2 linked regions of the Sus scrofa genome follow. The protein of the gene in region 1 interacts with the protein of each later gene in a biochemical or structural test. Links are inferred from orthologs where the notes say so. Each region holds a gene or a part of one and is shown in the gene's direction. Other genes may lie near its edges.

Region 1 (3,500 bases):
AGAAGAAGGAGAAGACCCTGGTGTACAGCTGTCAGGTTGGTTAAAATGTTTATTTTTGGAAAGATAATTAGTAGTAATATTAATGGTAGTAAAAGAAGCTGTATTTCTTAGTTTTTAAAATGTTGATTTAAAAATTAATTATGATTTAGATTGTCTTCCATTTTTTTTTCAATAAAACCCTTCTTCCTTGTGAAAGCAAATAAAAAACTGGAGACGTTTTTAGTCAGATCACTTTATTCTGCATAAGAACATCACTTTTTTCCATCTTTTTGTCTTTTCTAGGGCTGCACCCATGGCATAGGTTGTTCCCAGGCTAGGGGTCCAATCAGAGCTATAGCCTCACCAGCCTACACCAGGGCCACAGCAACATGGGATCTGAGCCAACGTCTGCGACCTACACCACAGCTACCGGCAACGCCAGGTCCTTAACCCACTGAGCGAGGCCAGGGATCAAACCCAAAACCTCATGGTTACTAGTCGGGTTCGTTAACCACTGAGCCACAACGGGAACTCCAGAACATCATTATTAAATCAAACATTTTCTAGACTTTGCATTAATTCTGTATTTCTAAGTTCTTTTTATATGTTAGTGGATCCTGTTAGATATGCCTTCTTCTCCAGAGAGTAAATATAATCTTTTCTGTTTTGTGGGGGATGGGAAGAAAAGTTAGGCAAGAGGAAGAGAAAGAAGTATATATACTCATAATAATTAAATGCAAAGTTTAAACAAAGTAAAATGATTCCTCTTTAAATAGTGTTTTTCATTTGATAGAATGAAAATAAAATTCACCAACTTAAAATTATATATTTTATTAAAAAACAAAATTGCATTTCTGAGAGTTTTGGGGGAAAAGCCAGAGTTTGAAATCCATGCCATAACACTTTTTAGATCTATAAATTTTCCAAAACTCATCTATTAAATGAGCATAATAGTTAACAGAGATAATTTCCTGATTACTGTACATGAACTTATGTATTTACAGGTGGCTAGGATAGTTGCATTTGCCCTTAAAAAGTAAAAACTGCTTGTGTCAGTATTCTGCCCAAGAAAATACATCTCCAAGGCAGCTCAGTCTACCAGCTAAAAGAGCCTTTTTTAACTGTATTTTGTCAGTATGGGCAAATAAACCATTTAAATTTTTTTTAAGACTTTTCTCTCATCATCATTGACGAATGCCATCACACCAACAAAGAAGCAGTCTATAATAACATCATGAGGCGTTATTTGAAACAGAAATTGAAAAACAATAAACTCAAGAAAGAAGAGAAACCAGTGATTCCCTTACCTCAGATATTGGGACTAACAGCCTCACCAGGTGTTGGGGGAGCCAAAAAGCAAGCCAAAGCTGAAGAACATATTTTAAAAGTAAGTCATTAACTTTCTTCATAACCAGAAAAACCAAAGTTAGAGCAAATGCCAATACTTCTTGGGTAAGATTAGGTCCAGATGCCATGGAGTGCAGGAAAGAAGCTATTCCATGATCATCAGTTGAGCGAAATCTATATGCTTTAGTTAATGTAAATACACTCAGTCTTCTACAAAATAGAAATATGCCTTAGTAAATAACTATGACATGGAATAATAGCCCCCAAATTATAGAGAGCAAACGTAAGTATTAAAAAATTGGGACAAATGAAATACCTTCCTTTAAATATCTACTCCTATTTTTAAACTTAATGATCTACTTTATATAGAAATATGCATAAGCTAAGAAAGTTTCTAATTTCATACATACTCCATGAGTTTTAGAATTGCATATTTTCTTCTGAGCCTTTTTTTGTTCTGTGTGATTCTCAGATTCTAGGTAATTCAAATTAAATGGGAAAATGGAGATATGAGAATCTTTAAATTTGTTTTGTTTTGTTTTGTTTTTTTCTTTTTTGGCTGCCCTGTGGCCTATGGAATTTCTGGACCAGGGATCAGATCTGAGCCACAGCTGTGACCTACACCACAGCTGTAGCAATGCAGGATCTTTAACCCACAGGCCAGGGATTGAACTTGCATCCTGGCACTTCAGTGACATCAACAGTACTGTTGTACCACAATAGGAACTCCAAAAGTCTATATCTTGTCAGCTGCCTGCAGATGGTAACAATATATACAGTGCTTTTGTTGATCTCAAGCACTGAAAGAATTCAGAGTAATTCACAAAGTATGTTAGCGCTAAAGCCCTTACTTTAAGTTGAAGTCAGTGAAAATCATATAGAGTAGACAAAAGCACAATTATTGGTTAGAACATATAATTTATTACTAGTATTAAGGATTAACTGCAATTCAAATTCAGGCACATGGGCTTCAGCTGCTCCTAGCTTTGTAGTATCCTCTTTTATGTGTGGAAGAAAGTGATAATATGATCCATGGATATCAAGATGACCTTTAAAATGCATCATGTAATATGGTTATCTCATAACCATTCTTGCTGATCTCTGCAATTTGCTGTATTCTCTCCACATCGTTTTTTTCAGCTGGAAAGTGAAATTTAAGGAATGTAAATAAATATATTTCTTTCTGGAATTTTCTGCCAACCCAATTTCAAAGCATCTTTTTACTCTATCAGGGTAGATTTTGTTGGCTAATCAGATCCACAGTAAGGCAATATTAAAATGCTATATTTAGCAAATTGTGCTACCTATTTCTTACATGAGAAAGATTTCTGCATTGAGTTAATTGAAAGGGAAAAGTATTTGAATATCAAAACCTGTCTCTTTTCCAGATATGTGCCAATCTTGATGCATTTACCATTAAAACTGTGAAAAAAAATATTAATCAACTTAAAGACCAAATAAAGGAGCCATGCAAAAAGTTTGTAATCGCAGATGACACCAGAGAAGTATGTGCTTAAGATTTTATATTTATTTACTTGATGACATCATACCTAACTGCAAAGGTCATTTTACAGTGAGCATCCAAAGAATATTATTTTAAAATTTTAGCAAAGAGTTACAGTTTTATTAAATTTTATTGATATTAGGCAGCAAGGCACTGCTGTGAATTCACTGTTCAAATCTTTTAGTTTTCTGAACTAGATGAAGAGTAGCTCAATAACTGGTTGATGGTTGATATATATGAACTGTGGGGTGGGAAGGATTGTGAAGCTAGAGGGGTTAACATAGTTTCTCTTATTCTTTTTACTTTCTTGGTGAATTCCAGTATTTGTTTCTTGACATTGAACAGAGCCATTTTTTGCTACCAGATTACAGTTGGTGGTGATAATGAGAATCCTACCTAATTGGCATATTTACCTTCTTAAGAAAATACTTATGGTAAAGAAGTGAAATATTTACTTTAATGGTGTTTTTGGAATAAGTATCTTCACTGATTATAAAAACCAACTTAGAGTCAGTTTGGACATTATGACTAGTACATTATGTCAATACATTCTTTTGCAAAATATAAAAAGTAGGATAAATTTTAGCTTTACTTACTTGATAATAAATTTAAGCTCTGTGTACTTGAGGTTCTGAAAATCTACCTCATAAGAATGTTGGATATGAAATAT
Region 2 (3,988 bases), on another chromosome or scaffold:
TCCAGGTGTTTTGAATAAGAAGCCTTGTCAGGTGGGGCAAAGGCAAGTGTGAGAGCTCTCTGGGCACACCCCCTGCTCGAGGCCCAAAGAGCCCCTGTGACCTTGCTGGCTGGCTAGAGGAATTTTCTCTCTAAAGGGCAAGACTGCCTAGTAGCTAGTCAAGAGGATCAGCGCACCTTTTCCAGAAAGAAAAACTTCACATATTATGACACAGGGGTCATAATATGATACTTGCTGCATGGCAGTGAGAGGAGTCCTGCCTCAAAATCAGGCCAGCTTGGCGCTCCCGTTTGATCCCTAACCTCGCTCGGTGGATTAAGGATCCAGTGTTGCCGTGAGCGGTGGTGTGGTTTGCTGATGTAGCTTGGATCCTGTGTTGCTGTGGCTGCAGTGTAGGCCAGCAGCTGCAGCTCTGATTCAACCCCTAGTCTGGGAGTTTGCATATGCTGCTGGTGCAGCTCTAAAAAGCAAAAACAAACGAACAAAAAAGTTCAAAAAAAAAAATCAGGCCAGCTCCGTTAGAAAGAAGGGAGAGTTAATCTCCCTCCAACTCGCCTTGGCCCAACACACGCTGCACCCCCAGGCCAGTGACTGACGCCTCCTGCTCAGCTGCAGGAGAACCGCCTCTGAAGAATCAGGTTCCAGGACAGCTTGGACCTGCAAACAAGGAACCCCCCAGCAGAGGGCTGACTCCTAGCAAGGTTTCCAAGTACAGTTGAAAAGGATTGCTTTGCATTTCCATTAAAGGGGCTAGGAGGAAACCACTGTTTTCTGCTGTCTCTTGGTAACCAGAAGAATTCCACCTCACTGTTTAAAAGAACCAAAATTAGGCATAACCTAGGGAAAGACGACATCCCAATCTGGCAAGTATCTGAAACTCAGCTCAAAGAAAAAGCACAGCCGAGCCCTAGGGTCAGGAGAGGGCATTAAGCGAGCACTCGTTGTTTGCCCCTAAAGCTCCTATTGCCGAGCACTCCCACGTGCTGGCCTGTCCCACGTAATCGCCAGAACACCTGGGAGATAGGTAACCTGCTGTATTATTTGTATTAGATTTTCAGCTGAGGCGCTCAGAAGAGGTTCCGTGGTGATCCTCAGCCACAAGGAGGCCCAGAGGCAGGACAGGTTTCCCAAGGCTCCAGTCGCCAGAGCCTGGGGCCGGATTCCCTGCACAGGAACTGTTGGACGAGGGTCTAGGGAAGCAGGATGGAGGTCCTAGGGTGGAGCTGGGGAGAGCTGGACCCCCACCTCCCAGCCTGGGGTGGCAGGCGGCAGGAAAGGGCGACTCGGCGCCCATAGGGGTCGAGCGCCAGAACGGGGGGCCGGCGCTGGCCGGCGCGGAAGTGCTGTCACCTTCCTCTCCCCGGCGCGACCGAGCCCCGCCCGCCCGCCGCTGCCGCCCGCCGTCCCTTTAAGAGGCCCGGCGCTGGGCCCGCGCGCCGCCGCCATGGCCGCGCAGCGGCTGGAGGACAGGCTGACCTGCGCCATCTGCCTGGGGCTCTACCAGGTACCCGTGACGCTGCTCTGCGGCCACAACTTCTGCAGGGGCTGCATCCAGGACTGGTGGGGCCGCCACGAGAAAGCGTGCCCCGAGTGCCGGGAGCCCTTTCCCGCCGGCGCCGAGCCGCGCCGCAACGTGGCTCTCAGCGGCGTGGTGGAGGAGCTGCGCGCCCGGCCCGCGCCCGGTCCCGGCCCCGGCCCCGACCCCGGCCCCGGCCCCGACTCCGACTCCGGCGCGCGCTGCCCCCGGCACGGGCGGCCGCTCGAGCTCTTCTGCCGCACCGAGGGCCTCTGCGTGTGCAGCGCGTGCACCGTGCGCGAGTGTCGCCTCCACGAGCGAGTGCTGCTGGACGCCGAGCGCCGGGAGCGCGAGGTGACGCGCCGGGGACCCCGCCCTGCTCTCTGCGCCCGGCCGGGGCGAGGGGGGGTGGGGTGCAGGGACAGCGTCTTATTCCCAGGCGAAAGGAGGCGGGAGTCAGAAAACAGACGCTTGGGATAGAGATTTCCGATCTGGTGACAAGTCCAGGTGAGGTTACAGGAGTGGCTGGGACGGAGGGGGTGGACGTGAGGAAGTCAAGGCGTCCAGAGCCGGAGTTTTGGAGGATCATCCCCTGGCCGCCGAGGGGGCAGGGAGTCAGGACAAGTGGTCGTTCGTGGGGCTGAAGACCGTGCCCTGCAGTCGCATGAAGGTTTGCAGCCGAGGCCAGCAGGTGGAGGAACAGCCACTACCCCCGAGGCAGGTGCCCTGCAGGAGCTAGAATTGGGCCAGAGGGAGAAGCGATTTTGAGGGGGTGAGAGGACTGATGCCCGCCCTTTGGGGAGGGGCAGGGTGAACCAGAAAGTCACCCTTTGGCTTCCTACTCTTAGCATGTTTTCTGGTGCTGGAGGTAGGGGGGCCTGGGCAGAGGCACAAGAATGGAATTTAGGAAGATCAGATCTGGTGACTTTGGCCAAATTATAAAATTCTCTAACCCATTCCTCATCCGTGAAGCGTGGATACTCTCAGTTCTTCAAAGTGGTGCTGGGATGAGAAAAAGCAAGACAGTTTCTTGACCAGATGCAGGGAACATAGTTCTCGCGAGTGGTCAGCCCTGCACTCCTGAGACTGCAGTGTTTGGATCCTCAGGGGACCAGACAGGCCACAATGAAATAGGGTGCCCTCTTCCTCCTCCCTTGTACATGCACCGCACTGCCACCTGCCAGACAGCTTTGGTGCTTTGGGTCTCCACCCCTTCCCTGCATTTATTTTCGGGGGGGGGGTGCGCTCCACCGGCGCCCCACTTGCTCTGGGTGGGGGAGGGGCTTTGTCCAGGCCTCCCTGGGACTCTGACTGAGGCGGATGCTCTGTGTGCTGGCCCCACCTGGGAGGGGGCGAGGGGGGGGGGATGTCCAGCCTCTGCAGGCGTTTGTTGACTGGCTGAGAAGGGACTTCACAATCCTGACCCCCTCTTGTCACTCACCCCCCACCCTGCCCCCCATGGGCACCACAGGCCCAGCTGAGAGCTACACTGGAGGTCACCCAGAAGCAGGCCACCAAGGCTGAGAGCCAACTACGGGAGCTGCAGCAGCGAAGCATCCAGGTCCAGGTACAAGGCCTGTCTGCTCCACCCCATCCTGTCCTCCAGCTCCGTCCTTCAGGCAGCTGCCAGCTGGTCCCTGAGTGTGAGCTACCTTGAAAATGCTTCCTGGAGTTCCCATCGTGGCTCAGAGGTTTAATAACCCAACATAGTCTCCATGAAGACGCGGGTTCAATCCCTGGCCTCACTCAGTGTGCTAAGGATCCGGCATTGCCATAGTTGTGGTGCAGGCTGGCAGCTGTAGCTCCTATTCAACCCCAAGCCCAGGAGCTATCATATGCCACAGGTGCACCCTTAAAAAGAAGGAAAAAGAAGAGTTCCCGTTGTGGCTCAATGCTAATGAACCTGACTAATAGCCAAGAGTAATCGAGTTCTATCCCTGGCCTCGCTCAGTGGGTTAAAGATCTGGCGTTGCCATGAGCTGTGGTGTAGGTTGCAGATGCGGCTCAGATCTGGCTTTGCTGTGGCTGTGGCGTAGGCCGGCAGGTACAGCTCCGATTCTACCCCTAGCCTGGGAACTTCCATATGCTGCGAGTACAGCCCTAAAAAGAAAAAAAGAAGAAGAAATGCCTCCTGGCAGCAAGAAATGAAAGGCTGAAGGTGGGCGGGGAGATATTTCAGGGACCTCAGCCCCCTACACCCCTGCTCTGCAGCTCAGTGGGCAGCGCAGGCCTGGCTACCCTCTACTCCTCCTGTGCCCATCCAGAGCTCAGCCTGCACCCTGGCATCCATGGTCTCTGGCAAGTTCAGCCGTCTGCTGCAGGCCCTGGAGATGCAGCGGGCCATGGCTCTGAAGGACATCGAGGCAGCCAAGACTCAGGCGCTGGAACAGGCCCGGGACGAGGAACAGCGACTGCAGGGCCACCTGGAGGCCTTGACTCACTGTGATCACAGGATTCACGACCTCCTGGAGC

Evidence for each region.
Region 2: of the proteins of IFIH1 (region 1) and TRIM65, one has a biochemical effect on the other in vitro, tested with the Homo sapiens proteins (2 studies listed by BioGRID, with this or other methods). The link is inferred for Sus scrofa from reciprocal best matches to the Homo sapiens genes IFIH1 and TRIM65.

Annotation. Positions count from the first base shown.
Region 1 is NC_010457.5:68,943,646-68,947,145, reverse strand, and holds part of IFIH1 (interferon-induced helicase C domain-containing protein 1), read left to right. Parts: coding exon 1-35; intron 36-1,148; coding exon 1,149-1,366; intron 1,367-2,714; coding exon 2,715-2,831; intron 2,832-3,500.
Region 2 is NC_010454.4:5,521,868-5,525,855, forward strand, and holds the start of TRIM65 (tripartite motif-containing protein 65), read left to right. Parts: upstream 1-1,188; 5' UTR 1,189-1,444; coding exon 1,445-1,870; intron 1,871-2,987; coding exon 2,988-3,083; intron 3,084-3,780; coding exon 3,781-3,988. UniProt on the Homo sapiens protein: E3 ubiquitin ligase that plays a role in several processes including innate immnity, autophagy or inflammation.